Linked DNA regions of Lonchura striata. The protein of the gene in region 1 interacts with the protein of each later gene in a biochemical or structural test. Links are inferred from orthologs where the notes say so. Each region holds a gene or a part of one and is shown in the gene's direction. Other genes may lie near its edges. The genes, in order: PLCG1, KIT, GAB1 and SH3BP2.

Region 1 (7,912 bases):
GGGAGGGGGCCGTGTGAGGGAAAGATGTGTGTGGAATTTGAGGACAAGTGAAATTGGAAACAAATGACATTCCCATCACCCTTTGTTCTGAACATGCTCTGTACACTTCCAAGAATTATCTACTTTTTAGGTTTGTCAGACTGTTTTACCTTTTCCCTCCCCCTTTTTTTCTAAGCCCCACTCCCCTCTTTTACTTGAAAGATTTTATTGTGTAAAAAGAAGTTTCACAGGTCAATAAATTTCGAGGGAAATGAGCATTGGTCCAAAAAGGAAAATAATCAAGATTTTAGGGCTTTTATTTTTTTCTTTTGTAATTGTGTAAAAAAATTTTAAAAATTAAAAAGCAGAATTTTAATGTGAAACCTTTTTTTGCTATAATCATTAGTCTTAGAGGCATCGTTAGCGTAGTGTGTGTGCAAGACCATTTCCTGCAGCCTTTCCTCAACAAGTATCTTCTATTTTTATCATGAATTCCCTTTTAATCAAGTGTAGGTTATTTAAAATAAATTCCTACAACTTAACTGAGTGTCGGTGTCTCTGTGTTCTTTCACCTCCAGCCCTGGATGTGAGGCCCCCGTGGTCGCTGGGCTGGTGATGATGGTGGGATGCAGTTCCTGTTCCCAGCCCCAGCAGGAATTCCCTGAAGGATGTGCCCATCCCTGCCTTGCTGTGATTGTGCTGCCCCCTCCGTGGTGCCCACCCTGGCTTTCCACGCAGGCACAGCTCGCAGTTTGCTTTGCCCTGGGGGAAGCCCTGCCCAGGACAGCAGAGAGCAGGAGCAGGGGGATGCAGTGAGCCCAGAGCTGCTCCGCCTGGTTTCTCTGCTGCCTTTTATTCAGCCCCAGCCCTCTGCACAGAGCAGGATGGAGGGAGGGCACCTCCTTCCCCTCCGTGCCTGGGAAGGGCGGGAGGCTGGGCAAGGACTCGGGTGATGAGGCTGATGGATGCATTCTCCCCCCTGGTGCTGGGAGCAGCCCTGGCCTGGTGTCCTTGGGGATTGTGGAGCAGGCAGAGCCCTGGCTCCTCTGCAAGCACCTCCCCGTGATCCCAGAGCTGGGGTGGGCTCCCAGACCCCCGAGGGTGGCTGTGGGGCCAGGCTCTGGGCAGCCAGCCCTGAGCTGCTTCCTGCTGCTCGCTGCGATCCGCAGGCACTTTGTTGTGGCTGCACAAGCTCGGAGTCTGGCAGGAGTTTGCTCTCTGGGGCCTTTCCAAGGTGCAGCGGTGAAAATGCCAGTGGAGAGGGAAAGGGGCTCATTGTGCTCCCAGCCTGCCCGTGGCTGAACAATGCAGCCTGTAAAAATATCATTTCTATTTATACGGCCCTGCTTCCCGCCTGCTGACCTGGCCCAGTTATCCCCTATCTTACAAATTCTAGTATTCTTGAACAGGGAATTGGGGAATGCAGTGGGAAGGGATGTTCTCCCATAGAGGGGGTCCCCCACCCCAGAATTGCTGCTGGCAGATCCACCTGGGCATGGTGGGGTTCTCTGGCCAGGCTGGGAGATCTGTGTCTGATGGCCAAGGCTGGAGCGTGTTGTGCCTCTCGGTCAGCAAGAAGGAGAAGGATGTTGGTGCAAAACCCACCCTTGAAAATTCCCCCTGCTCCCTCCCAGCACTGGGGAGCACAGGCTCTGTCCTGGGCAGGGGGCTGAGGAGGGTTTAATCGGTGGCTTTGCCTGTGGCACAGCATGCTGAGGACCACACACCCCACGGAGAATTCCCAGACCCCACTGACTCACTGTGCAAACGGAGAAATGGCCACAAACCTGCCACATCCTGTCTTGCATCCCTCTGCTGCAGCGCCTGTGCTCGCCTGCCCTAGTGCCACCACCCCCACAACCGGGCCTGTGTTTGGCAGCCAGGGAAACTGAGGCAGCAGTGACATGACCGGGGGAGAGGACACAAATGTAGCTTTGAACTGGATCTTGTGCAGCACAGGGCCTGGTGGCCAAGGGGAGGTGCAAAACCCTGCAGGATGCAGCCCCATCCCCCTTGAAGTCTTAAGGATTCCGGGGTTGAAAATTGAAACCGGGTGAATTCGATATTAAAGAAGTGCGGGGACAGGGAGCGGGAGCTGCAGTGGGTTTCTCGCCGGGTGCCGGCTGTCACCCAGAGGGAATTTGCAGCGCCGGGCAGGGGCTGTGGGGAGGCAGCCTGCGGGCACGGCTGTGCCCGGCTCCCGGAGAGCGAGCCCCCGCAGCCCCGGGCGGCTCTGCCCCGCATCCCGGCACAGCACCAGCCCGGGCAGCTCCGCACCGCCTTCCCCCGGGGCCCTCCGCGCCCTGCTCCCTGCAGCACCACGGCAGCAATTCCCCCGTGGGGATTCTCTCGGCTGGTGTTGTCTTCACCCAGCCCGGGCAGCGCAGAGCAGGCAGGAATGAAGAAATAACCCGGAGAGAGGCATCTCGCCCAGGGTCTGCACCACTTCCTTGAGTATCAGGCACCCACTGGGCAGAGGGATGCTGCGCTGCAGGGACCCCCGCACCTGCCTGTGGGGTGGGCTCGCAGTGCTGTGTCCCTGGATTCTGTTCCCCGGGCTTTGAGCATGCCTGGGGCTGTCCTTAAGCCGGAGGTCACCTGGCATTGGCCTGTTCCCGGTGGGAGGATGCAGCTGCTCCACGAATCCTGCAGGATATGGGGGATGGCATCCCGTGCTCCGGAACTCTGAAGGGGGAGGTGCTGGGGCCACTCCGAGGGGAAAATCCCCCTTTTCCCTGAGGCGTTGGCAAGGGGAGATTGCAAGACCCGCAGGCTTCCACAGCCATATGATGAGCACAGTCCAGAGAATTTCTTCAAAAGCAAAACAGGAATATAATGGAAGTTTTTACTGCCCTGAGGGGTGGGGATGATTGTTCACAGCCTGGCTGGTACAGGAGCTGGGGCCACCAAATGGGGCTGACAGACAGCAGGCACACAAGGGCTATCAAATTTCCTCTGCTGTCAAATTAAACAGAGGAATTCCTTGGCATGCAGCATCTTAGACACAGAGAGCTAATGCAAGGCTAAAAGATGATCAGTCAAACTTAGAAAATAAAAAATATCCACTGCAAACAGCTCATTGTAAACCACATCCTCCACGTGTTGGCCTCAGCCACCCCGAGCTCCGAGCTGAGGACACACCTTGCCAGGTGCTCTCCATCAGCAGGAGCTGGCAGTGTTTGGGAACAAGGGAGTTACCTGTTCTGCTTCTTCGATGGCCACACTCCATTCCCAGGTTTTGCCCTCAAAAACAAGGGTGTGCCCACAATGCTCAGCTATTTTAAGACCACTGGGAGCCGGCTGTTTCCTGCCGGTCCCAAGCGAGGCCATTACACAAGCCAGGAGCCACTTCCCACGGCGGCTCACCCCGGAGAGAATGAGGCCCGGAGTGCTGTGCCAGCACCGAGCCCAGGCTCCAGCAGCTCTGGCTCAGCTCAGCACATCCCCAGCATCCTTACAGTGCTGTCATACACTGCTCACTTCTATCAGGACAGGTTTAGACTCTCACCTTGCCTGTTTGATGCCCAGACGCCAGGTAGGATCCTAAACGACCTTATAGGGCTCCTACTGTGTGTGGATGCATGTGTGCTGGGGAATGTCCCTGTGGAGGCAGGTGGAGCAGTAGGACACAGAGAGCTGCTCACATGTGGAATCCACTCAGGGATGGGCCCCTCACTAAGAAGATGACACCCTCCCAGTCCCAGCTGTGAGCTGGGGGGCTGAGATAAGGGCTGCTGAGCACAGGCTGCCTTGCCATGGGCCTGTGGGCACGTGTGTGTACGTGTGTGTATTCACAGCATCATGAGGTTTGGAAAAAAGAAAAAAAATAATGGGATTGATAAAGTTGGAAAAGTCCTCTAAGATCATCAGGTCCAAGCATTAACCCATATTTATACATTTATACATATAAATGGGAAAGCCTGAGCACCGTGTGCCATGGGATGTCCTAATGTAAAGGAGGGCATGGGGAAGAAGGTCAGAGGCACACAGAAAGGGAAATCACAGGCTTTAACCACATGAATGGAGCAAACTGCACTGAAACGCTTCCCAATTCAACCACTTATCCCCTTGCTAACCCTGCTTTTGTGTGGTCTCTAACCCCTGTTTTTTGTGGGGCCAGAGAACAGCTGGAGAGTGTCCAGTGACCCCCGGCTCCCTACAGGTCCCCCAGGGGTGGGATGCCACAGGCCACCCTGCAAGCCCGGTCCTGTTTTCCATGCCAGCACGGATCCAGCTGGGATCCGTGTGGAGGAAACTCCAGCAAACGCAGACCTGGCTTCATCAAGAAGCCACACCACAGTGCCAGCCATACAGAGGGCTCTGTCCCCCGGAAAAGCCATCGTGGGATGCACTGCTGGAACTCCACACGTGGCATGCCAGGATCCCACACAAACCCTGCTGTGGGTGCCACGGCCCTAAGGTATCCTGTGGGCTGTGTGGCCCACGGGGGACCTGCGGGGTGCAGGGTGGTCCCCTAGGTGTGCCATGGGGTGCACAGTCCCCGATCCCCAGGGGTGCCATGGGGTGCACAGTCCCCGATCCCCAGGGGTGCCATGGGGTGCAGATTCTCCGATCCCCAGACATCTCATGGGCTGCAGAGTCCCCCCGTCCCGCAGGGGAGCCGGTGCCATGGGGTGCAGAGTCCCCCGGTCCCCCATGGTGCGGAGGGTCGCACGGTTCCCAGCGTGCTGGGCGGTCTGTGGCACTCCATCCCGCAGCACGAAGGAGCCGCGCTGTGCGGGGATGCTCCGAGCCCCGCAGCACCGGCTGCGCGCTCCCCGCACGCTGCGCGCCCGCCCTCCGCGCCGGCAGCGCTCCGCCCCTTCCCCTCCCTCCTCCTCCTCCTTCCTCGCTCCTCCTTCTCTCTCTCCTCCTCCTCCTCCTCCTCCGCTCCCTCCCGCGGCGGCGGCGCGGGGCGCGGCGGGGCTCGGGCGCTCCCGCTCCCCTTTGTTCGCCGCGCCGATGGCGGCCGGGCCGGGCGCCGGCCCCGGGGCGCCCAGCGAGGCGGAGGCGGCGCAGCTGTGCCGCAGCTTGGAGATGGGCACCGTCATGACCCTCTTCTACTCCAAAAAGTCGCAGCGACCCGAGCGGAAAACTTTCCAGGTGAAGCTGGAGACGCGGCAGGTCACCTGGAGCCGCGGCTCCGAGAAGGTGGAGGGGGCCGGTGAGTGCGCGGCGGAGCCCGGCGGGAAGGGGCGGCCGAGGGGCTGGAGCCCCGCCGGGAGCCGGGGCTCGGTGGCGAGGAGAGGGGCACGGGAAAAATAAAATAAAATAAAAATAATGAACCTCCAGGCTCTCCGCGCCCGGCATCTCCCCGCGGGCAGCCTGGGGGGCGGAGAGGAGTCCGGGTCCCAGCGTGGGGCCGACCCCGACCGCCCTGTGCGCGGGGGATGCGCGGGGGATGCGCGGGGGATGCGCGGGGGATGCGCGGGCCGGTACCGCCGCTGCCCCCGCCCAGCGCCGCCTCCCAACTTTCCGCATCCCTGTTCGGCACCAAACTTCCCCTGGGATAAACGCGGTGTTTTCCCGGGTGGTGCCTTGGCGAGCAGCACCTAAGGGCGGTAGGGAACCTCAGAAGGAGGCAGGACTAGTGTGAGCCCTTTTGCGGTTGCACCTCGGAGCAACAGATGAGATCGAACGGAAAAGGTTAAACAGTAGGAAAACCAACCCAAAATATTGTGCTGTAGTTCCGTCCTCTTCCCCGTTGCCCTCTGCGCATCAGCCCGAGGGTGCTGGCACAGGGTGTGCTGAGCCCCGGCTTCCTGTGCTGGATGGGGGCGAGGAGGACAGAGGAAAGGATGAAACCTGAGTGTAAAACCAGGTTTCTTATGCAGGGCCGTAAGGTGGGAAGGGGGTGAGATCTGGCATGCTCTGCACTCTTAAACTTGGTGTTGGTTTCCCAGGTTTTCTTAAATTATCCTTCCTGCCCCTGTGTGCACCAGCACGAGGACAGGGGCTCTGCTCTGTGTGGGACGTGAGGAAGAGGGGACGTGCACGAAGGCCAAGTGGTGGGAGAGCTGGTACTGGCTGTGGCACTGGCCTTCCCCATGCTGAGGGATGTGGCAGAGGCCCAGCAAGGCCAGGGAGGGGTTGTCATCTCTCCTGGCAAGTGCTGCTGGTCCAGGATGGAAAGCTGGGATGCTATTAGTACAAGGGGCTTTGATGAGGAAGGGGCATGGAGATGGTGGCCACACCTCTGTAGCAGGTCCACAAAATGCTAATCTGGGGCTTTGGTTTGCCCTGGGACCCTTTGAGTCCTCTACCTTGCGCCCTGTGGGGTCTACAGGCAGATTTGGAGGGAGTCTTTAGCATCATGAGGACGTGCAGCTCCCCCATCTCTTTCCCAGAAGGGCCTGTGGGAGCAGTGAGGCAGTGTGAGAGCAGCATTTCATTGACCCTGGGCTTGAGCTGTTCTCAAACTCAGGCAGAACAAACATTGGTCTTGCTGGGGAGATTCTGGTCTTGGGCAGAGCCCACAGACCACGTGTGCCCATGGGGGACAGAGGTGTCTGCATGGGTGGTTGTTCCTGGGGACAGACCTGGGTGTGTCCCTGTAACCTTTTGGGGAAATCTGGAGAACTTCAGTTTCTGTACCAGAGTTGTGGGCCTGACAATGATAAAGCCACAGCTGCAAGGAATCCTTGTGCTGTGCAGACATCCAAGAGCAGTGAAAGCAAAGAGAGTGTCCCAGGGACCGAGATGACTGTTTCTTTTAATGTCACAAAGAAAAATTCCTTGGGGCCTCTCTACTGTGCCACAGGCAAGGTGTCTGGCTGGTGGTTTTGGTCTCTGGGCTCCCCATGTGTGCCTCCCTGTGCTCGTGGTGATCTCACACTATGTGTGACCCTCCCAAGTGGCCAGGTGGGCCTTGCTGGACACAGAGGACATCAGGCTGAAGAGCTGCTGTATCTTCAGCCTCATCTCTCTGATGCCAGATGCTTTCCCCATGGCATCCTCTCTCACCAGAGCAGCTCACCCTGCCCTCAGTCCCCTCCTCTGGTGTCACCCAGCACCCTGAGCTTGCAGGGCTGAGGAGCAGAGCTTTGCTTTAACACTTCCTGGACAGAACTGTGGGGCTCCAGCTGGAAATACCAACCTGTGTACACAAGTAGTGCCTGGGTTTCTAGGCAGGCAAGGCAAAGCCATGGGATCGATGGCCAGCAGTACCAGGTTCTTGGCCAGCTTCCCTGTTTTTATCTGGATGTGCTTTCTGGGCAGAAAGAGGATGCCTGGGAAATGCTGGGTGTGTGACAGCTCCACTTCAAGGTATTCCCCTCCTGGCTCATCCCCTTGAGGTCAACATTGCCATGGCCATGGTGGGAACCAGAGAACCAGAGGGGGAATAATCTGGAGTTGAGCTCATCGCTTTCAGTGCAGGGTATGGGCAATGACTGATCCAGTTCTCCCCATGAAAAGAAGCCATGCCAGCACAGGGAGCAGTAGACTGGGGCTGGTAGGGACACTGGGTTTTACTTTTTGTGGTGGTTCTGGTTTGGCCTCAGCTTGCACTATGAGGAGAGTAGCCAGCTGTCAGGGGATGAGGTGTTCCTTCCCATGGAACAGCATCTCCTCCAAATGGTGTCTGGGGACTTACAGATCAAAGATTGCTGTGTCCATGGGTCAGCAATGGATGTTCTTGTGGTTTTTGAGCGCTGGAGAACACTAGGGAGTTTTAGACTGCTCTGGATACATGTTAAATGTCTAAGTAGGAATGATTCTGGGGTTTTATCCATTTCAGAACAGGTGAACATCCACGGTATATTGCATATGGAGGTTTTGGGCTTGGGGCATGTCTGTGTGGATGGCCATGTCTTGGAGAGGTCTCCATGGACACCAGCGACAGAGGATCTGTGCTCCTTTCTCTGCTCCTGTGGGCTGTGCAGAAAGGAGATGTGTGTTTCTCCCAGAGAGGGATGGGTGACCTGGCTCCATG
Region 2 (7,834 bases), on another chromosome or scaffold:
CTTTGCAAACCTAAAAAGGAGCCAAGCGATTTACAATACACTTAAAGAATGCTAAATTAAAATATGTTAAAGAAAGATACTTTGAGAGGCAAGGTGACAAACAAGACATGATAAAAATCCAAGTTTTTAAGTTCATCTACTCAGGGAATATAGGGATGAGAAATACCTTCTTCTCCACATCATGCTTTTGACATATATTATCTCAATCAAGGCAGTTCCTTTGCTTTTGTTTTAGTTCTCTTCTCATTTGATCCCCAGATTTATAAGAAAAATAGTGCAATTTAGCAAATATGTTGAAGCAGTCAACTGGATCTCATATGGCTTTAATCACCTCAGAGAAAAATGCCTGACAAGCCTCACTCTAGCCATTTATTTATATTGCAGATATGGCAAAGCACTGTAAGAAAACACAGAAGGACTCTTTATAAACTGCTAAGCAAAGTTAGTTCTTGTCACAAGGTTCAGAGCCTGGATATGGTTTCAGCAAGTAAGGCATTAATATCCTGTGGGGAGCAGGCAGAGAGGGCAAAGACAAGGCTCTCTGGGTCTGCAGCCCAAAGCTGCTGTATATGTGAAGGCCAGGGAAGAATGGGTAGGGCAGCAAGCTGGGAAAGGAGAATGCATTTGAGGAAGCCACATCAGCTGTTTCTCCACAATTATTTTCATGAGCTCAACTCATGGAAAAAAAACCCAATGACAATCCAGCAACAAAATCAAGTAAGACAAAACAACACTTGAATTGACCTGCACTGAGTCAATTTTCAACAGTGGCCTGTGCAAATAAAGCTGCAAGTGATAAAGGCAAGAACTACACTTGGCAGTTCACAAAGACAAATCTCTTTTCTTAGTAAGATTGCAGGCTATAAACTAACAAAAAAATACTATCAAGAAGATTAGAGCCTTTATATTCCACTTAAGCTTAGACTGATAAAACAGTGTTTACAATAGTGTGCTATGTGTGTGATAATACAAGATGTCTTCAAAAACAGCATATATTTCAAGCTTCAATTACGACTATATCTAGGCTCTCATTGACATTCAATGCTGGAAAAATTTTTAATTAACTAGGATGGCAATGCTGGTTTAAGATCACAGTCACAATGGGATTTACTGAGTATTCTCCACAATTGGATTAAAAGGGAATAAGCTACACCTCTCACTTTAGTAATACTGAACGGATTCAGTTTGAAGATTCTTATTCCAGGGGGAATGAGATAAAGGTGTCCACTTCTTCTGAATTTATTTTAGTGTCATCCCTCTAAAAATAACAGACATTTCATCAATTACACTGGCTGAAGACATTATAATCCTGCCATCTACAGATGAAGTCTTAAGACATGTGCCTATCAAATGCTATCAGTTTTCTCCACTTACCCACCCTAACATGTCAGCGTGGAGAGCAGAAGACGAGAGATTAATAAAAAAAATGAAATGGGATGTCCCAAAATCTCAGTTTCTAGAAAACAGGTCCAGCTGGATTATACCTTCTTGTACCAACAGTTTAGACCAGCAGACTTCACACACTTTTCTATTTTTTTTTAATATTAATAAAACAGAAGGTGGAGAAAATTCACAGCTACAGTTTAGTCAATTTGGATCAAGATACTGCAGAGTGCTGAGTATATATTTTTGCACAGTGGTCATATGACATTCCTAACTCACTCTTCAGAAATGATGCTTTAGATGAATGCACAAGGCAGAAATTTAACCACTTTTTACTTTTTAAAAGCTTAACAAACTTTTATGCCTGTGATTAGATAGGTTTTACTGCAACACTGGTAAATCAATATGTGTTTCAAACTTGTGTAATTTCTCAAAGCCTTCAGGAATCACAGAGGAGTTAATTCTGGAGCTGTCTGGTTTGCTGGGGCTGCCAGCTTATATGAAAGAGCCATGTTCCAGCCTAAAGTCTGTCAATCTGCAATTTAGAAAAAGGAAACTACAACCTTATAGAAAAAGTTGTTATTGTGGGCAATCAGGAAGGATTCTAGCCACATTGATTGGCTGTATCAGAAGAGTAATTCCTCTCTTCTCAACAGATACATTTTGTCATAGATAAAAAGAGTCTAAGATTATTAATGCTGTAAAAAAGGTTTTCATAGCTCTGACAAATAAATTGTTTTAAACCATCAAACTTGCTCATTTCTAAATGCATTTCCATTCAGATACAGAAATGACAAACCCTTCATTAGAGCAGCAGTATTTTGTTGACATTAGCTTAATCTTACCAATATTATTGACCTATTCAGTGTTTACTTCAGCAAGCATTCCCATGGATATCTAAAAGCAATATTTTGAATTGACTTTTCAAAGGAGTTCATCCACAAATTTTAAATCACTTTCAAGCTTTCAAAGGGAAGTGAACTTTTCAAATATAATTTCACATATTTCTCCAAGCTTATCGCTCTTATCTCCAAATGTGTATTGTGTCCAAAGGCTGCAGATCTCTCTTGTCTCTCTCTTCATTCCACACTCTCCCAAATGTCAACCTACTGCAAGTTGTCTCCAGCAGATGATGAGGAGAGATGGCACTACCTGTCCTAACTCACTGCCATAGTACCACAGTGACAACTGAAGAGAGAAACACGTGAGGCTGGCTGCAAAGTCAAAGAAGAACCTTTCTGGTTTATGCTCACATATTTCAGACAAAGGTAGGAAAAAGACCTAAGAGAACCCTCCACTGCTTAAAAAACTTTCTTTTGCTTCTATAATGCAAACAGGATATAGACAACAAAACTTACAGCATTCAGTGCAATACACTGAAAAGGGCAACTGCATTTATCATTTTAATTATTTAAAATAAATGAAGGGGCAAGGTTAAAAGCAATTCACCTTTGTTTCCCACTTACTGTTGCTATTTATAGTCAGTCAAAGCACGTGGAGAATACTGTTGCCACTTTGATTTTGAGATGTAACATTGAGCTAATGTTTGTGAAAATGAGGCATATGATGCAGAGCCATGCGGAGTTCAGATTCATGTGATCAGGGATGTGCAGGACCTAAAGGCAGGCCACTAACTGAAGGAGCACTAATCAAGGAGAACAGGGAAAAACCTGCCACAATAACAACATCACATGTTCCTTGATAATGCTTTAGTGAAAACCTCTTACAGTATAGTGCCCTACCTTTGCATCTTTAAGAAATTAAGCGTTCCAAATGTTTACATTTAAAAATTCAGGCTCACTTTTTTTCTCCTACAGAAACAAAATCCAGAGACACCTGGAAAATGGGGGGGGGGGGGGGGGGTGTGAGGGAAACGACACTAATAAATTAAGTATTTCAGTAATTTTTTCCTCCCTAAGGTTAATTTGATGAGGTTAGCACATAGTAAGAAATAGGATTTTAAGATGTTATTTGATTTTGAAATTGTTGGTGTGCTAACAAAAAGTATTCTGTTTTGCAGCAGAGGAAGGATTCACCTATCAAAAGAGACTGGCTGTCAGAGATGAAAGAGAGTAAAGAAATGGAGAGAGCCGTTTTAAACATGCAAGACAAGACTTTCATCTCATGCTGGACCATGTGGGACAGTGCTATTAACCTTGGGAAAAAATCTGACAGGAGTGAAAAAGAAAGGAAGATGAAGGGAAAAAAAAGGAATATTTACCTTCAATAATTTTTCTGATCTGTACTGACACATTTCAAGAAGTCTACATTTATGCTTTTCCAGTGGTGAAAGTTTTGCCATATGTCCTCTACATCTTTCTGTACATCCAGAAGTGTTGTTATGGATTTTCTGACAGTCTGTGTCCTTTGCCCACCTGCCTGTTAAGGTGCTGCCTGTGGATACCTTGGGCAGAGCATGGCTGGTGAATGCATGCATGGCTCCTTTGCCTGGGTCACCTCTATACCTTTCTTCCACCTCAACAGTGTGTGACACTGACTGCTAAAACAGTGTTAAAGCTAAGAATTTGTGTAGTTTGTGTTATTTCTGCCTGCAGAGCAGCTCCACTCCAATTCTGCAGTTACAGAAGTGAGTGCTCCCAGATCCTCGTCAGTGGTCTCATCGGTGCTTAAAAAACTCCCTCTGTGGGATTCCACAACCCCTTTTTGCAATGCATTTGTAGTCTAAATCCTCTTGCTCTTTGCAATCGCCTTCCTTACATTTAAGCGATTTTTTTTTTCCTGAGAATTAAATGGATAACTTTTTTTCTTGCCCTTGAGAAACATTAAAAACAATCACTCACAATCCTTTTCTTAAGGACCCTTTCCACGTTTAAGCTCCCTGTCAGTTTTCTCGTTTCCATACCAAACCAGCCACTTCTTTCAAGTCTTCGCTTTGTGCCACAGCACATACTTTTAAGTCTCACTCGAGGTGCTCTGGCCCTCAATAGGTGGTGGCCCACAGCGGGCTGGGTGGATGTCAGCAGTGCGAGCCAGGGCGGAGGCGATACCTTTGGCGCCTCCAGAACCAGCCAGTCGTTAACAGCTCCAGGGGCGATCAGTGAGGATTTCAAAGCTAGGCAAACGGCTTTGTACCTGCCCTTTAAGGGATGCTCTCTCCCTTTCCAGCTCCCGTGCCCGGCCCGGCCGCTCCCCCCACCTTTCTCCGGTCCACGTTCCACTTGGGTTTACGCAGCCCCGCGGCCCCGATCCCTCGGGCGCTCGGCGTGGCAGAATGCCGCCCGTGAGGAGGGCGAGCTCTCCCTCACGACAGCACTGAGCGCCCATTCAGCCACTGGGCTCGGTCCTTTTTCCTTAAACCATTCTGTTTAGGGGCTTTAGGTGAGCCCAGAGGAGGCTCCCGGGGGCGGAGGAGCTCCTCACCTGCGCCCATCCCCGCGGCGGCGGGGCGGGGGCGCGGCGCGGCGCGGGGCGGGGCGGGGCCGGCTCTACTCCGCTCCCTCCCGCGGGGGCTCGGGCATCTCCGCGCCGGGCCGTGCGAGCGGCAGCCGCGCCGGGATGGAGGGCGCGATCCTCGCCCGGGAGCTGGCGCACACCGCGCTGCTGCTGCTGCTTCTGCTGAGCCTCTTACCCGCAGGTGGGAGCCGCGGGCGCGGGCGGGCGCGGAGCCCCGCGGGGCCGGGGTTTGCACGGGCGGCGGCAGGGAAAACTTCAGCGCTGGCGGCCCCCTCCGCGGGGCAGCGCCGCGCCGGGGGTCGGCCGGCAGCCAGCGGTGTGCCCGGCATCGCCCCGCGCTGCCCTTGTGGGACGCCCCGCCGGGGGAAATAAAGTCCTTTGTTTGCCGTGCGCGGCTATCCGGGGCTGGGGGAGAGACCTGCAGGGAACCCCTCCACCCCCCTCCGCCTCCCCGGCCCGGCTGTTTTGACAATAAACTATCCGGGGATCGGTACGAAATGTCCCCGCGGTTAAGTGCTTGTTGAACAATGGGCAGGAACGAGCGGCCGGCGTCAGGTGTCCAGCGCTGAGCAGCGGTGTGCAGCCTCCCCGGTGGGGCAGGTGGGCTCGGTGCCCTCTGCGGCCGCCGGCGGGCAGGTGCCCCGGAGCAGGGCTCGCCGCGGGACCGGGCATCAGGGCTGGTCTGTTGCGGCGCTGACGGACCTTTGCGGTGAAGAGGGCAATGGGTGCCTTTCAGGCCTTTGGGGAATCAGCTGGTGCAAAAACTTTGGTGGGTAGGTTCCTTTCCAGTCTTTTCTAAAAAGGGAGTTTATTTGCTTGACCTCATAGCCCTGGAGCACAGGTCTAACGGTTTTAAATACTGCATCTGGCTGCAGAGCTGGGCAACTTCACACATGGCTTTCAGAGCCGCCGTGCATCTCCTTTCATGGTTTGTAGGCTTAGGAGGCGTTTGGCTGTGTCCAGGGGAAGGTGCTGGAAGGAGGTCGCTGCTAGACCTGGGGAGGAATTTAGCATTGGGCACTGAAGTCTGAAAGGAGATAACGTGAAAGGTTCTTTCGCTGCTTACCTCAGAACGAGCTGAGGATCCAGAGAAGCGATGCACAGCGATAGGTGTTTAAGGTTTGCTGCCACCACCAGAGAGGAGCCTTGCAGAGCACCCTGTGTGACACAGACGGGGAGGGTTCCGCCAGCCTCTGCCCATGGGAGCAGACACCTCTAAAACACCAGAAGCCAACAGTAGTGACAATTTACACTTCATTGTAAAACCGTTTAGGATGCCTTAATGATTTTGTTTAGGTAACTTTTTCTGTTTGCTGCCGTTGGTTTATTGGTAATCCGAGTAAATGTGGTATCTGGCAACTTGGGCTTTCCTATTTAGAAGTACCCACATAAGGCTGCAAAATGCTGTGGCCACAGGAGTGTAAAAGTCTCCTAAAAGTCTCCTACCAATGAGTTATTACTAGAAAGAATTTTTTAAGATGTTGACATGATTGATACCTGCCAACTTTCTTTACTTCATGAATTTCTTGCCTTCACTTCAAGGTTACCCTTCATCATATAGTTAGACTGTCCTTAAAGAAGGCTTGGGAAACAGATCACACTGGCAGCGTGTCCTGGAAGACAGAGGTGCAATTTCTGGAGTACTGAGGAAGCAAGGAGGAACCTTTCTCATGATCCTCCATCTCGTTCTGGGTTTATACACTTACTTGTGGGAGACTTCAGGGACACATCAGACAAAAACTTGTGTGAACAAAACCACACCATGTTGTAAGAAATAACTTGCTACTGCAAAAGACAGCTGTCCTTGGGTATGTATGTGCATCATCTGTGCATCACATAGATGTAGGAGTATTCTGGGCTGGTTTTGTGGTGCTGGGAGAGGTATCGGTGTGATGGTTAGAGTCCTGGCAGCAGCATAGGAACATCAGAAGTGATAGGACAGAGCTGATGTGCTGTTCTGGATTGCTCCAGAGCTAGTTCCTGTGCTGCTTTTGGTTTTGCCTCAGTGTAGATGCTTGGCTGAGATGATCTCCCTGTTCAGACCTATCCTGTTTATCAGCATACAGGTTTATAATAAGTATCTTTTTTTGGCTGTTGGTCAAGCGCGTCTTCCTTTGGTTGCAAACTGGGAAGGAGGATGTAGAAAACAGCTTAATGTAGCTTCTCAAAGGGTAAACCATTCATCTTTTCTGTCCACAGTCCCTTCCTAATTTTTGTTTTTCTTGCAAACTGACATGCTTCCATACTTCCTTCCATTTGGGACTTGCCTTGTCCTCATTTTGATGCAATATTCCGGAACAGTCTTTTCTCTCTTCTTCTCCTGTCCTCCCTCAAGGCTTGCTTTGTCCCCTACCATCCAGTACTCTGTGAGAGTGCCTTGCATTTCCATCCTGTGGTCATGGAAGACTGGACATGGTTCCTTTCAGCATCCATCCATCAATGCAACCTTTTTTTTTCCCCCCCAATCAGCTGCAGAGTAATAGCAGACTCTCCCTGTGCCCAGAGGGAAGAATGTCTGTTTTCATGATGCTCCCTGTTACCTATCAGCCATGAGGGAGGAAGCTTGAAGGACGAAGATTGAATTTGATGAGAATTTTGATTGCTGTCATTCAGTCACTGCCTTGACCCCCCTCAAGCCATCTGAGTATCCTGCCCTCCCTACTCCCATTTCATTTCTATCTCTGCTCTCTGTACTTTTCCTCCCTCCCCTGTGGCAGTGCAGAGTCCCCTGTGCAGAAATGTAGCCTAAGGCCACTGCCAGGAGCAGAATGGAAATGTCAAAAACTGCTCAATATTCAACTCTTTTTCCTTGCACCGCCACTGGGAACCTTTTCCCTGCAAGTGCCTGAGTGATTTTTGTTCGGGCTTTATAATAAAGAATGTGACAAATTTGGCAAGAAGTGAGACTGCCATTTACATCCTGTTTAAATAGCATTCATAGAGACTGAAGGCATTTCCACGTGCTTATTTTGCCAGAGAGAGCCTCTTGTCAACAGATGACTGCAGCTGTGGTACTGTGGGGTTGTATTGGCTCTCT
Region 3 (7,121 bases), on another chromosome or scaffold:
TTTATTACTTTCCTCAATGTGCTTGCCAAATAATCTAAATAACTACATTCTGAAAGAAACAGTAAATGTCATCTGCAAAGTGACCAAAATAACTACATAGATTAAATTTACCTGGGAATAATTTTGAAATCAAAATGGAAGTATTTGAGATGAAAAGAAATATATAAATGCAGAATTTTGCAAACTTAAAAGATTAATTCTTTTTCTTCACTGATTCATTTTTACATAAACACCTAAACATGTTTTAGGATATAGACTGACATGCAAAATTTTTTGTTAAACTAATTTATACTTTTTAATTAGACCTTTGGTTCTTTTTTTGTCAAAGTACAAATTTTGTGTTCAAATGTAAGCAGGAGGCATAGAGGAGTTTAGGGATCACTATCAGGAGCAGCTGTTTGTGACTGCAAGGTGAAACCACAGGGGAATGCATAGGTTATCATACTAGAAGTATAACACAAAGATAGTGCTGTAGTGAGCACCATCTTATTATGCAAGTCCAGAATTCTTAAGCTATTTGCATGAGAAATTAACATAATTTATATTTTGAAAGCAAGCCCATATGTATTTAATCTCCTCTTCTATCAGCTCCTGCTTCCTTCATCAAGGCAACTTGGCAAGCAAACCAGAGACAAATGGATTTCCACATGACCTACTTTATCTGGCAAGATATATAAATAGTCTACTCCAGAATTTTGAAGAACCCATTTAAACACTTTGGAACGCACTTGTGGAAGAACACAAGGTCAGTGGAGGAGTCAAGGCATCTTGCACATGCTTCCTGAGCTGGGAGGCAGCACCAGCACCGTGACCACATGTGTGTAGTCGTCACATTCCATATGACCATGGCATCACCTCGCTGGTTAAAGTGCACTTTATTGAGCATTGTGTGTGCTGCAGCTTGGTCACAATGTCCAGTCACAGCACAGGGACTGTTTCAGATGGCAATGTGGGATCCAGGAATGGCAACATTCCTAACATTCCCAATCCTGTAGCAGGATTTGGCACTGTAAGAAGAGAGGATGGATACCTCCAGAGCTTCCTCCTCGAGCTGCTCTGCTGGCCACATCCTCTTCTTCAAAACCAACAGCTGTCATTGCAACATCCTTGTTAAAAACAGGCAAAATAACCTTTCCTCCAAGAAAAAAATCCTCTTCCCTTCTCTCTTCTTCCTCAAAGGCCCTACACTCAAATACCAAAGATCTCTGTAATGCAAATAATTGAGCTTGAAACACCTTTATCTTCCAGGCTTCCCAAGGAACAGCACAGAAATAACCTGAGGGAACAAAGTGAGGGGAGAGGGTGGTCATGTCCTGACGTGGGGTTACAGTCCTTCAAGCCCTGAAGGGAGTTTTGTTCTTCCAAGCACAAGCTGTATTGCAGAAGAATTTCAAAATGGGGCATGCTTATATTGTTTTAACTTTCAGGACAGAAGTATAGCTCAGTTATTCTCGACAGAATCCTTGTGACTTTTATCCTTAAATTCAGGAAATTATGTCCTAGCCTAAGCTGGCTGAGTGTAAAAATTTTTCTACATGGAGGAACTGACTTGTGTAATTATTTCACCACTCTCTTCATAGACAGTTTTACAGTTATAAATATGCAGGTGTTAAGAGTCAGACCTAAATATTGTGCTCTTCATGTATTTCATTAGCCTTGTTTCAGTTTACCCTAATACAGGTTATCTAAATTATGAACTGTGGAACACTGCTGGATATGCACAGAAATCCACAAAATTAATATTCTTGGATTTTCTAGCTGTTCACTAACTTGGAAAGAGAGGTACAGCTCTGTGCAGCCTTCTCCTGAGATGGTAAGTGAAGGCATTGGTGGGACTGTGGATGCGTAGCTCAAATGGCTGAGAGCAGAAAAGAAAATCCACTGCCATGACTAGGAAAGGAGCAGTCCATGAGACAACATCTTAACATTTAGAAATTGTGCTTTGCTGTATTGTTTTCTTCAATTCCACAATGCAATAAAAACATTTTATGTCCAGTCATGAGGCTTGTGACTAGGCTCAGCAACTAAGTACAGTCTAAAAGGCAAGCTTTGTTGTTTACTATTCATCACTGTGACATTAACTCTTTTTCCCTAGTGTATACATGACAGGGATTAAACCCCCTCACAAAACTGATAAACAAATACATGAAAACTTAAGCTGGAGTCCAGGCTGACACTGGTTTCTGTGTGTTTTAGAACACAAATGTAATGTTTTGAAATTTGACCTCAGGGACAATCTTGTGTCTCTGGACCAGCTAACTTGTTTGGTTGGTGCCTCCATGGAGACTGCTTAACCCAAAACAAGCTTTCTTTGATTTGCCCTCAAAGCATGGGTTAATTAATGGGATTCAAATGAACCATTGGATCACGTCACAATGCCCCAGTGCCAATGGCATTTTTAGTTAGTTCACATTGGCTCCACATGTTCTAAATACTGAATCGTCTCCAGTGTTCCAAAGGATACTGGAAAATTTTGTGGTCTTATCTAGCACTTGAATAATGTCAAATGTTGAGATTATTAAACAATGGTATTAGTGGTTTAAACAAAAAACTTGCACTGAAACCCAGTTTGTAATCTAAACCTAAGAGTACAATTTTAGTTCATGTTTACTAACCAAATCACTTTTTTATTGTTTCCACCAGCCCCGCTGAGGAAGCTGAAATGATGGTGTGCAGAAATTCATGCAAGGATGGTTTGAATGCTCAGATTTATGTGCTTTGAAAATTGCTAAAGGCTGACATTCATATCTTTTCTTATTTCAAATGCTTTTGGCAAAATATCTTATTTTATGATCTTTCTTGTAGTGCTTAGTAATGCTTCATAATGTCATAATTATCATGACAAGATTTATGTTGGAATTGATGCACAGATTTTAACACCTCAGCCTTTCTCCTTTATTTTTTCCTGTTATTTCTTTGAATGCTCCTATATGCTACAACCACTGCTTTGTAACTTTTAAATACACTTATACCTAGATGAAATGTAGCATCATCGGGCTCCCTTCAGCCAAGGCACACTAGGGGGACTATTTCTCTGCAGTGAAACTTCACTGGGACTAGACAACAAAGCCGCGATCCCATTCCACAACCTGCCATTTAGTAATCTGAAAAAAATTTGTTCAAAAATTATTTTCGTTAAAAGTGTACTATTATTTTTTCTTTATTTAATAATATATTATTTATTGATTATATTTATTAATGTATTTGTTATTACTTATTTAACCCTTTTCTGACGGAGTGAAAAAGACAGAGAGCATTCACAGCAGAGCTGGTGAACGACCTGGACAATTAAGGATTTTTTTTTTTTTTTTCCTTTTTTTGTTATGGCAGTTTCAGACTTGCTATGAGAAATTTACTTAGGCCGCGCTATTTTTAATGCAGTTTTAATAGGGATCTTTAGGTTGGGTTTTGTTTCTTTGCTTGCTTGGTGTTTTCATTTGTTTTCCCCGCAGGGACCGAGCCCGTCCCTCGGCCGCGTCCCCTCCGCTCCCGGCCGCGCCGCCGCAGTTCTCGCCGGGTGCCGACTACAGCTCCCAGGATCCCGCTGGAAGCGTCGGCCGGCCGTCCCTCCCTGCCTGCCTCCCTGCTTCCCAGCCCTTGTTGTTTGAAAGGGCTCCGGCGGAATTCCGAGGGGGAGCCGCGGCGCTCGGGGCGGCGCCGGGCGGGGGCAGGCGGGGCGGCACCGCCGCTCGGCGCCGGGAGAAAGGGGGCTCGGGGGGGACGCGGCGCCGTGAATTCCAGGGAAAAGCCTTCCCCCGCTGGCCGGCAGGGAAGCGGACCGGCTCCGGGCCACGGCCCCAGCCTCGGGACAAGACCCCTCCCCGCGGAAGGGAAGGCGAGGAAGGGACGGCAGGCGTGCTGCCGATCCCCTCCTCCCGGCGCAGGGGGAGGAGGAAGAAGGAGCGAGCAGGGAGCCGCGGCGGCCGGCGCTGAGCTCGGAGGGGCGGGCGGGAGGGAGCGAAGCCCCCAGCGGCCCTGCCCAGCGGGAGGGTCCCGGTGGCACGGGGGAGGCGCCACCGGCGCGGGGCGGTGGCTGGATCCTGGATCCTGCCCCGGGACGCCGAAGTTGCGGCGGGGCGGCGGCCGCCCCTGTCGTCTCTCTCGATGTCCGTGTAACTCGGCGGCGGCGAGCAGGAGAAGGCAGGGAGGACCCTCCCGCCTCAGCCCCGCTCGCCGCCCCGCTCCCCTCCGGCGGGCTGTTGTGCGAGAGAGACAGACAGACACACACACCCTGCGCCCCGTCCCGCCCCTCGCCCCGGGAGGCCAGGCCGGGCGCGGTGCTGCCGCCGCCGATCGGGGCTCCCCGCGCCCGCTGCTCGAGGAAGAGAAGGAGCGGGAGGCGGAGGGAGCGCCCCGGCGGGCAGCGGCGCAGCCATGAGCGGCGGGGAGGTGGTCTGCTCGGGCTGGCTCCGAAAGTCCCCGCCGGAGAAGAAGTTGAAACGCTACGTGAGTGCCCTCTCCCACTCGCGGGCCGCGCTCCCCCTTGCTCCCTCCCTTCCTCCCTGCCCCGCTTCTCTCCCGCCGGAATTCCGCGCTCGCCTCCCGCTCCCGCCGGCCCGGCCCGGCCTCCCCGCGCGGTCCCTCCCGGCCGGGCCCGGGCGAGCCGCCCTCCCCTCCGCCTCCCCGTTCCAGCCGGGGCTTCTGCACGCCACGTCCCTGCCGCTTTCCCAGCGCCTTTTCTTTTCTTTTCTTTTCTTTTCTTTTCTTTTCTTTTCTTTTCTTTTCTTTTCTTTTCTTTTCTTTTCTTTTCTTTTCTTTTCTTTTCTCCTTAAAAAAGGAGAGCTGAGCGGTCAGATGTTTCAGCCCAGTTTTTATCGCCTTTCCGAGGGAGTCGGGAGAGGGCGGAGTTTTCCCCCTCTTCCCTCCGAGTCCGACCTCGGTATATATGTATTTTTAAATGTAAACACTTGCCGTCCCGGGGCTGGTGCCCGATCCCAGGGAGGGCGGGGGCTGCCCCGGTTCCGCGCCGCTCCCGGCGGGATTGCACCCCGGGCTGGAGCCGGGGATGCCTCGGAAGCGGTCTGGCTGGGGCGGGGGGAGCTCCGCTCTCGCTCTGCGCACCGGGAAGAAAAAAGAGGAGGCAGTTGTGAGAGAAGCGCCCGTGTCTCTCTCGAAGTTGTTGCCGCTGTTGCTCGGTAGTGGCTGCGCTCGCAGGGGCTCCGGCGGAGCGGACGGGAAAATGGAGCGCGTTTGCTGAGCGGGCAGATTCCATGACAGGGCACAGCGGAGCTGCGGGGCCGCCGGGGAGGCTGTCAGGTCACGTAGGAAGGAAGGATGGGTGATGCCAGGAGTCATCGCTGCTGGCTGAGCCCTTTCCCATTGGCACCCGGCTTGTTTCGCGGCATCTGTGTAATCGGGACAAAATGCTGGGCCTTTTTTTTAAACTCTTTTCTTCCTTCGCCTTCATTCCCTCCCTCCGCCCTCCAGTGTTTATCTTTTTTAAGCAGCTAAAGCTTCAGATTTATTTGAGAATCTGTGAATACAGATCTTAGCGTGACTGTGTTATTTTTGTCTGTTAGCGATTAGCAGTCTCTTCTTGAAGGGACTTTGGGCGGGTTTTTTTAAATGCCAGGAAATCTGTGAAATGAGTCCCTATTTAAATTAATAAACAATATTTGGGGTAGCCCATTCTCTGGTTCCCAATGTCAGAAATCCTCTTTGTGTAAAGGAAAGAGAACATCCTGATGAGACATAGCAGGGTTCTGCTTCCCCGCTGAATGGACTGCTTTTTTGGCCAATTCTCTATGTCTGTGTGTGTATTCACAGGACACCTCTTCACCAGTGTGGAGGAATTAAGAGCAGTATTCATGTTTTTAAAGACTTTTAATAAATTTTCCACTCAAACTCTAAATCCTGTGAAGGGTGCTGTGTGTAAATGGACAGAGTTTGCCCTCCTAAATCAATCTCATTAATCAGTCTCATAATATGCCAACTTTTTTCCATGTAGCTGCCCTTTCAGTGTATTTATAGCTCCATTTCTATACTGGAATTACACAAGAACCTTTGAGGGGAAAACCCCGACTACAGCACTGGTCAAGTGGTTCCCTGTCCTAAAGAGGTAATTCCTTAATTTTCATTTGAAAGGGGGATCTGCTTTTTGAGTAGGCAGACTATCAGGATGATAATACGGCAAGCTTACCTTAGCGTGATTTGGTTCAACATTAGCATGCATTGTAGGCCGTAAGATCATAAGTTTAAATCCTACACGTTATTTTTGACTCTTTTCTGCTTGTGTGAAAGAAAGATACCACTTAGAGAAGGGCTTAAAGTAAAATTCCTCCTGTTTGTCTGTAGTGCCTGCTCTGTTGCAGGCTGAAGGCTGACACTCCCTTCAAAGACCTAAAAGTGACCTTGACGTTATGGTAGCCGTCTTGGAGCAAACAATAAGTTGATGTATTTAAGACAATGAACTCCAGCTGAGTGCACTGGCTGGAGAGTTGGCTTGTGCTCCCTGTAATTCTATGCTTAAGTGAAGGCACAGCAGAGAGCTGCCTTTTCCAAAGCCATGTTTTATGGTGGTAGTATTTCAAGGGGCTGCACCAGATCAAAAGATGGGAAAGTGATTTCAACAGGAAACTGCTTTTCTGCAACGCATACTTTTCACAGGTATATATGGAAAATTGTAACTTCGTGCTCTATTAAGTTTTGCATGCAAATGTTGGGGCGAACCCAGGTTACCATCTGGAAATGGAGATAAAAAGTCTGATATTGTTTTTAAATATGGTTTAGTTCCTAGAAAGGGTGAAAAGGAGCACTTTGAAGCTAATATACAGACATAGCTTTCACAGGGACTTTGATTTTTAGTTTGAAACTGTTGGATGAGGTATTAAAGCTAGCTTATACTCATTTCGAGGCTAAAAAAGTAAAAACCCTCCAACCAGCCCTGTCCTGCAGGTGGTATTCCAGATTTCCTTGAGTGTATGCCTTAATGCCATGAATGTCTGTTTCTTCTCTTAGGAGTTCTGTTCTCATGCCTTGTTCATGTGGTTTTGTTACGGAATTAATGTTCTGACAGCCATTGGCACCTGCTGTCAGTTCCCTGGAGCTGCTGTTCAGAACAGTTGGAGGTAATAGACTGGTTGTTTCCAGCAGCACATCTCTGAGGAAAGTACAAGTAACTT
Region 4 (7,566 bases), on another chromosome or scaffold:
TATTTCTGCCAAGGAAATAAATCTTTTGTGGAAACTCCCACTTTCAGTATCTATGTGTATTTGGGGAAACTCCCTTTGCAGCTGTCTTCAGGAGTAGGATCTTGGCAATCATATTTGTACTTCTGCTAGTTACATAATTTTTTAACCTATGTTCTATTTTAAATTGTTCTACAAGCAGTGATGAGAGCAGTTAATCACAGCCATAGACATTTACAGTCTTTTGTATGAGGACTTTGTATATAAATAACAGTTAAAATGAACAAAGAAGATTCATTTATTTTCAATAGTAAAAGGAAATGGAGTGTTGGTAATGTATCTGAATTTATATAAAAAAAATTTGCTGCCTTTTGATTCATCTTCAGGACTTGCCTTCTACTTTAGGTGTTGTTTATACCAAATGTTACTGGTGTGATCTGACTGGCACAGACTTGACCCAGTTAACTCCCTGGGGTTTTGAGGGGCCTTTTGATTTAGTAGAAATCTGTTAAACTTGAAAAGCTACACATAACAATTTTGCCCACATTGAAAATTATGCTGAAACAGCTGTACTGGTCTTAATTCATAGAACCATTTAGGGTGGAGAAGACCTCTGAGATCACTGAGTCTTGAATTTCAATCTAGCACCAACGCCTGCTCACCACTAAACCATGTCCCCAAGTGCCACATCCACATTCTTTAAACACCTCCAGAGATGGTGACTCCACCACTTCTCTGGGCAGCCCATTCCAATGCTTGACAACCCTTTCTGTGAAGAATTGATTTCCAAATATTCAACCTAAATCTCCCCTGGCACAAGCTGGCGCTGTTTCCTCCCATCCTGTTCCTTGGTACCTGAGAGACTGATCCTCACCTGGCTACAACCTCCTGAAAGGGAACTGGAGGCAGTGAGAAGGTCTCCCTGAGCCTCCTTTTCTCCAGGCTAAACACCCCCAGCTGCTCCTCACAGGTGCCCCAGACCCTTCCCCAGCCCCGTTGCCCTTCTCTGGACACAATCCAGCCCCCCATTGTTTTTTTGGGAGTGAGGAGCCCTACAAGACATTAATATGAAGTCTTGAATTATTTTTCAAGGCTGGCTGGTATAAGTGAATCTAAGTTCTTATATTGAGAGTTTACAGATGGTTCTTGTCTTCCAGCTGCTCAATCTAATTTACTTTTTTAGAAGCTATGCATGAACTGCCAGTACTTTGTAGCTGTACTTTGAGCAATATATGACATTAACTGTATCCCAAAATCAAAATCATGTCATCATCTTCTAGGATGTGTGCCAAACTGCTTGATGAGACAGTCATGAAAAGTTACAACTTTGTTTTAAAATTGAAATGCTCATTCTCTGAGATATGGCTTATTTATTGCAGACCAGTACTGGCCGGCATTTTTTGAAGTTCCAAGCCAACAATATGTCTATAGATGTTTAGAACCTAAGAGCCACTAGGGTATAAGTAGAAACTTGGAAGCTTTCTGACTTTAAGTATTTTTTGGGTTTTGATTGAATTTATATTATGAGGACTTCAGTTGCCTATTTTAAGTATATGTAACAAATAAGTAAATATATTATCAGGACTTCTTCATGTCTTCTGAAGTAAGCTGAAGGAAAGGATGATGGTTAAAATTTAAAGTATAGGAGTTCTTTTGACAGTGAAAGAGGATTTCTGTAAGTTGTGGCCTCATTTCCTTGTTGCTGGTTTATCTTTTAATTTTTTTATAAAGATAACAATGCAGTTCACCCAGCAGAAGTAATTCTGATGGATGGTTATTTGTATTTTACAAGGTTGCCTTACTTAATAGATGAAGGATTCAGGCAAGTAATTTACACTTGCTCTTTTACAATCTGCAGCTGTGAATCATGCAGCTGACAAATACATTATCTCCCAATATAATGGCTGTGTTTCCACTATCATCTAGAAGCTTGAGACTAAACTAGTTTGGTAGAATTAATAAAATACTAACATTTCTAATAATCTACTCCTGACTCAAATTTAGGACACATTCTGTTCATCCCTTTTTGATGCTTTATTATACTGTGGACTTCCATGGAAATATATAATGTATGAAACCTTACATTATTCTGAGTAGAACTTAACTTCTGAGCTGACAGAAAGTGTTTTTCATGCTATTTTATTTTTTTTAGCGCTTTGTTGATTTTTCTGCCTTGCCTGTTGCTGTGCTCTTCTTGTGCTGTTTTTATTTGCAGTCCATTCTTACAGTTTCCTGTAAATTTGTCAGCAAGAGGAAGTGCTCCCACTGCAGACATAGCTCAGCCCTACGGTGAGACAAGTGAATTTATACCAGCAAGGACAGTGTTCTGCCACATGTGTTTGTGCCCTCACATCCCATTAACTAATGATTGGTAGGATTGCTTTGGACTGCCAGCAAGAACTGTTCCTGACAATGGCAGGGAAGACTGGCTGACTTCCTCAGGCAGCAGCCCTGCTGGAATGAAATCCAAGTCTTGGTTTCAGATGCTTTGGTTCTTCCTTTTAAGTCTGAGTGATACTTTATAACTTAGAAAGAAATGGAGTATCTCTTTTGGAGTGAAATTCTTTCTAGGCCAGCTTGATGCAAGGCTGCTTCTCACCACTGATTTCATGGGGACAATGAAGATTAATCTGAAAACCTTATACCAAAGGTCTATGCCTAATAGAATTTTGCTTTGGGAAGGAGGTTCTATTTAATACTCTTTCACTTCCCTGGCGGACATGTCAATCAAATCCATAAAGTTTTCATGTTTTTTTCAGATTCCTTATTTGCAATTTTGAAATACAATCCTTATGGTGAATGTTTGGTCTAGAAAGCTAAACTGAATTTGCAGTCTCCCAAAACTGTGAAACATCTAAACTTTGGTTGTTCCTTGGTGGAACACCTGTTGTGTGTGTGTGTGTGAAGTGTCTTCTGTTCTGACTCTGGGACCATCTTGATAGTGTTGGAAATCACCAGAGAAGTCAAAATGGGATCTTCGAACTTGAAATGAAAAATTCTGCTTCATTTCTGAGTACTAAAATTAGGAAAGAGAGAGAGTACAGCATGAGAAAGGTGAGAGGGGAAAAGCAGTACCTCAGGAACATGTGTTGGATGAAGAGGCATGGTTTAATGAGAATGTTGAGGCCAAAGAGTGTGGTAGTAGAAGTCGTGGAGTTTGGAGGGGAAAACCAGGAGTTAGGTGTGTCATATCAGAAAAGGGAAAGAGGAACTGAAGTATTTTTTCCAGTATTGCATATACTCAAGTGCTGTCATTCTAAATCTATTTTTTTTTTTACTAAATTGGAGAAACAGCTTGCAAAGATGCTAATGCAGACTCAGAAGAGTATACTTAGATAAAAGAGAACTCAGGGAGGAAAGATAGATTTAGAGCAGTGGGCCTTAAATGAGTAACGGATACTGTAACAAATAAAGCAAGTGAATTAATTCACAAAGCACTGAGATTAGTCCTCTGTAATTACTTTCTGTGTGAAAAATCTGTCAAGCCACTGAGACAACTGGGTATTGATCCTTATTGCAGAGCACTGGGATCTTTTGTTCTGATATGCAGATCCTTTTGGCTAACAGCAGGTGTGTGGTATTTATGGTTCAGTTTCCCTTCCTATAGAGCCTGGCAATGGAAGGAGTGCAAATGGGTGCCCTATGGTGGGAGAGCTGGTTTTTCTAGCCCATACAGCCGTGAGCAGTTTCTGAAATGTTACTTTCTTTTGTGCTTTGACTGTTGGGTCATTTACAAAAAGAGATGTTGTATGGAGACTTCTTCCTTCTATTTTGGGATACAGATTTATGGCTATTTCCTCCAAAATATGTGAAGTAAGCTTTTCTTGACATACTTATAGATGTTTTGACCATAATTCAGAAACTTGCTAGTTGATTTTGTCGTGCTCAAACTTTTGAGCCTGGAATGTTGTTTCAATCTAGACAAGTTAGTGAAACACTTGAATCCTTTTAAGAACGCCAGATGAAAGTAATTGTAAATCAATTACATTTATTCATTATCGGTTGGCGATACTTGTGAGCAATTGTGCACTGTCAACCTCTTGAATTTGAATTTTATTGCCTTTTGTGGTTTGTGTACCATCAACCATACCGGCCAGACTTGTTCTAAAGCATATTCATGCTGCAGAATTTTTCAGGATGGCTGTTTTGATTGTCTTGGGTTGAAGAGGGAAGGAGAAGCTCCAGCTGTGGGGAAGAAAACAGGTTAAATACTTACAGTTCTGTGGTGCAGTGCAAGTAGCTGAGGCACAGGCTCTTCAGGAGCACGGGCAGCATTTCTGAGCCGTGTCTCTGCCAGAGTGGGAGCTCCAGCACACTGGGAGAAAAAAGGACGACTTTCTTCTTCTCCCATAGGAAAGTGATTGATTGAAAGGTGCGTAGGAAGAAAGTGAGCACTGGAAAATCCCCTCTGCTTTCTAGCACGATGTCTGCCGGGCGTTGGAGCTGTGCGGGAATTGATTTATAACCTGTCTGGGAAGCTGGGAGATCTGACAGAGATAGCGCTGCCCGCAGCCAGTGGGGGGAACAGGAAGTAACAAAGGAAACAAGTCATTGCCTGGCGTCACTTTTGGCCACAGTGCACTGCAGATGCACAAGCAGCTGGGGCAGGCTTTCTTCTCCTTTTGTGTGTTGAGCAGACGGCAGCTGCAGCTGTGGCTTTCAACCTGGGAGTACCCAAACGCGGGAGAGGTGCAGGGATGTTCCTGCCATGCCTGAGAGGGGTCATAAGTTGTTAATGGCTTTGTCATCACAAAGGAAACAATCATTCGCTGAAACTGTCTGCAGAAGAACTATGTGTCGGTCGGACAAGGTCACCAGGTTAGTGCTTCTTGTGGCTTGTGTTTGTCATCTTTTCTCCTTCAGGTCGAGAGCAGACTGCAGCTAAGAGTGGGACATGGTATCTGAGCTAAAATACTTGAACTCCTGCAGAAAATTCAATGATAAAGGATTGGAGTGGGAAGAGATGAGTTGGGTGTTGGTTGAAAACTTGTCAGAAAAGAAAAGCAAGTTGAAGCAAGTTAAAGAGAGTGAATTTAGTTATACGCCGTATCTCAGTTGGGCTTATTTCTCTGTTCCCTTTGTCTTGTAAGATCTTGTTTTTACTTCAGTGTTTGTACTGTGCTATTAATCTTTCTGAGAGAGTATTGTGAAAGGGGCTGTTAGAGGTATTAAGAAATGGAATGTGTAACCAGAAAAAGTAGGTGAGATATAGAAGAGTATTTTAGAAGTACTGGAGAATAGTTAATAAATTTACAAGAGCAAATTTACAATCTGATAATTCTGCAGAAAGCAGTATTAAGAACAGATGGTACATGTTTAGATGATTGAAACAGAAATTATTCTAACTGAGAATTGCTGAGAGCGTGTAGGGGAAACTTTTCCTGTTCTGCACTGTGTAATGCTGCCTCATTTTTGGTAAAGCCTGATACTTCAGTCTCCCTCTGCATAATTTAGCTATGTTTTGCTTCCACTAAAAATTTAAGGACTAGAGGTTATGAGATTACAGTTGTAAAAGTTCTCAGTAATTGGCATAGAGAGCGTTGTTACAAATTCAGGCTGGTTTTTTGTTTTTTCCAGCATGACCAAACAGGGCCAGATCATAAATATTATTGTAATATGTGATAACTTTTAAAACAACTATTGGCAGCTGTAATCTCAGAAGAGGGTAATATTTTTTTTGCCTATATACTGCAAGATGTGGAGATAATCACATCTGCCATATATTCTGCTGAAGTTAAGCAAGATCTGAGGACTTTTCCAGGATGCAATCCTTAATTGAATCAACTTGTATTTGCTCTAATTGGGCTGAACTCCAATAACTCTTAAGGCCAAGAGGGATAAGTGTTCTTCTACAATGTAATCCAGATTTTTCATGTGGCAGAATTTTACTTTTACTCGTGGAGGGCCTTTCAGCCTGTAAAGTTATACCCTAGCCTTCCTTCTAGCTATTCTCTATCTATTGAGCGAGCAGTTAGATTAAAATTGCCTCACAGATATAGATCTTTACCTGCTACACAATAACAGAAGTCTGCTATCCATTCAGAGTTTGAACTTGGTGGCAGTACTATGTTTCAGTACTATGTTTCACTTCTGTATCTGACTGGCCCTATCCTGGTTACGAGATGAAGTGTGTGAATTCACTTTTTTTCCTGCTGTTTAACTTTCAGGGTACTTTGAAATAAAAGCTGGCTCATTGTGATAGTGTTTGAGAAAAGTATGCTGATGTGATAGACTTGGGGTGACTTTGATACATTAGCAATACACTGCAAATTGTTTTAGTTTTCAGTCTGGTAGACCAGTTTGTATATAAGAAGCAGTTACAATAATGATTATAAAAGCTCTGTATCATGCTCCAGGGTGCTGATTGCACCGTTCTGTCTTTCCAAAAGCACTCTTGAATGATGAAGCACATCCTAGAAACTGCTGTTCTACTATTTCTCCTGCTACACTGCAAGGCCTTTCATCTCCCGCATAGGCATATAATTGTCACAGGGATCACCTGAGAAACAGTGATGCAAGACCTTTCCGTGACTGCTGCGGTCCTCTTCTTGTTCAGAGGGTTCCATTCAGTGGGGGAGAAAATTAATTCAGTAGCCACATGCAGTGGGTTTGGGACTTGGTGGAAAAACTGGTTAAAAATATGTATCTAATTCCTTGGTGAGTGGGAAGAGGAATAAAGTGTGTATCTATTACTAGAAGCTTTCACCAAATAATGCATGGGATGTTGCCCTCTGTTTGTGACGGAGAACCAGTGTCAGGAGGAGCTTTGGCTGCACTGGGAGCCCTTTCTGTTAACTTGGGTTTCAGCCCTGTGGAAGAGTCTCTCTGATGCACCAGAGGTGAAAATGTGTGATGGGGGCTTTGTCTCGTAGTGTAAGAATGTAACTGCATAAAAAACAACTGGGAAATATCCCTCTGTTCCCAGTAATGCCAAAATTATCAGGCTCTGCAGTGACTTCAGCAGCTGCTATGATGTGTACATGGTAATGCAACATCCATCTGTTGATGTAGTCTGTTAGAGAAGTTACAACAAGAGTTGAAGGAACCATTCAGTGAGCAAAAAGCAACCATACTATAGATGCTAAGACCACAAAAATCTTTGGGCTTCCATTTTTTTTTTCCTTCTCTCCCCCCGCTACAATAAAGATTCTGAAGTTAGATTTGTGTTGACAGCTTTCTCCCAGCAGTGTGATGCAAAACAGCAACATCTGTCCTTACAGAGCTGTTTTCTGCAGTCAAGAAAAGAAAAATCTGACTGGGACCAGAGTCAAAGTACTGAAATGCATTTTAGCAGCATAACTGGAAGATTTCATCTCATAATACTGAAGTCTTCCCTAAGTGTCTGCTATGTGCCTGCAAATGAAAATGCTTGAGGAGTGTACAGATATGATGGGGAGTGTTATAAGCCACACTTAAATCCAGATAATAGGCTTAGCTTCCTCTAAATCTGTTGAAAATCCTGGTGCATTGGGTGGGCTCTTTAGTTCATGTATTGTGTACTTGGTGGCATGGATTTCAGCTGTGTCTCCTTTTACTCACTTCTTTTATTCTCTTAGCTGGCCTGGGGAAGTTCCACATTTTGGTCTCTAT

What was found.
Region 2: the proteins of PLCG1 (region 1) and KIT form a complex in vitro, tested with the Homo sapiens proteins (3 studies listed by BioGRID and IntAct, with this or other methods). The link is inferred for Lonchura striata from reciprocal best matches to the Homo sapiens genes PLCG1 and KIT.
Region 3: the proteins of PLCG1 (region 1) and GAB1 form a complex in vitro, tested with the Homo sapiens proteins (2 studies listed by BioGRID and IntAct, with this or other methods). The link is inferred for Lonchura striata from reciprocal best matches to the Homo sapiens genes PLCG1 and GAB1.
Region 4: the proteins of PLCG1 (region 1) and SH3BP2 form a complex in vitro, tested with the Homo sapiens proteins (2 studies listed by BioGRID, with this or other methods). The link is inferred for Lonchura striata from reciprocal best matches to the Homo sapiens genes PLCG1 and SH3BP2.

What each region holds. Positions count from the first base shown.
Region 1 is NC_134619.1:9,747,239-9,755,150, reverse strand, and holds the start of PLCG1 (1-phosphatidylinositol 4,5-bisphosphate phosphodiesterase gamma-1), read left to right. Parts: upstream 1-4,906; 5' UTR 4,907-4,941; coding exon 4,942-5,143; intron 5,144-7,912. UniProt on the Homo sapiens protein: Mediates the production of the second messenger molecules diacylglycerol (DAG) and inositol 1,4,5-trisphosphate (IP3). Plays an important role in the regulation of intracellular signaling cascades.
Region 2 is NC_134606.1:27,108,306-27,116,139, forward strand, and holds the start of KIT (mast/stem cell growth factor receptor Kit), read left to right. Parts: upstream 1-4,832; 5' UTR 4,833-4,899; coding exon 4,900-4,978; intron 4,979-7,834. UniProt on the Homo sapiens protein: Tyrosine-protein kinase that acts as a cell-surface receptor for the cytokine KITLG/SCF and plays an essential role in the regulation of cell survival and proliferation, hematopoiesis, stem cell maintenance, gametogenesis, mast cell development, migration and function, and in melanogenesis.
Region 3 is NC_134606.1:64,919,138-64,926,258, reverse strand, and holds the start of GAB1 (GRB2-associated-binding protein 1), read left to right. Parts: upstream 1-4,119; 5' UTR 4,120-4,374; coding exon 4,375-4,446; intron 4,447-7,121. UniProt on the Homo sapiens protein: Adapter protein that plays a role in intracellular signaling cascades triggered by activated receptor-type kinases. Plays a role in FGFR1 signaling. Probably involved in signaling by the epidermal growth factor receptor (EGFR) and the insulin receptor (INSR).
Region 4 is NC_134606.1:9,289,302-9,296,867, forward strand, and holds the start of SH3BP2 (SH3 domain-binding protein 2), read left to right. Parts: upstream 1-4,564; 5' UTR 4,565-4,684; coding exon 4,685-4,794; intron 4,795-7,566. UniProt on the Homo sapiens protein: Binds differentially to the SH3 domains of certain proteins of signal transduction pathways. Binds to phosphatidylinositols; linking the hemopoietic tyrosine kinase fes to the cytoplasmic membrane in a phosphorylation dependent mechanism.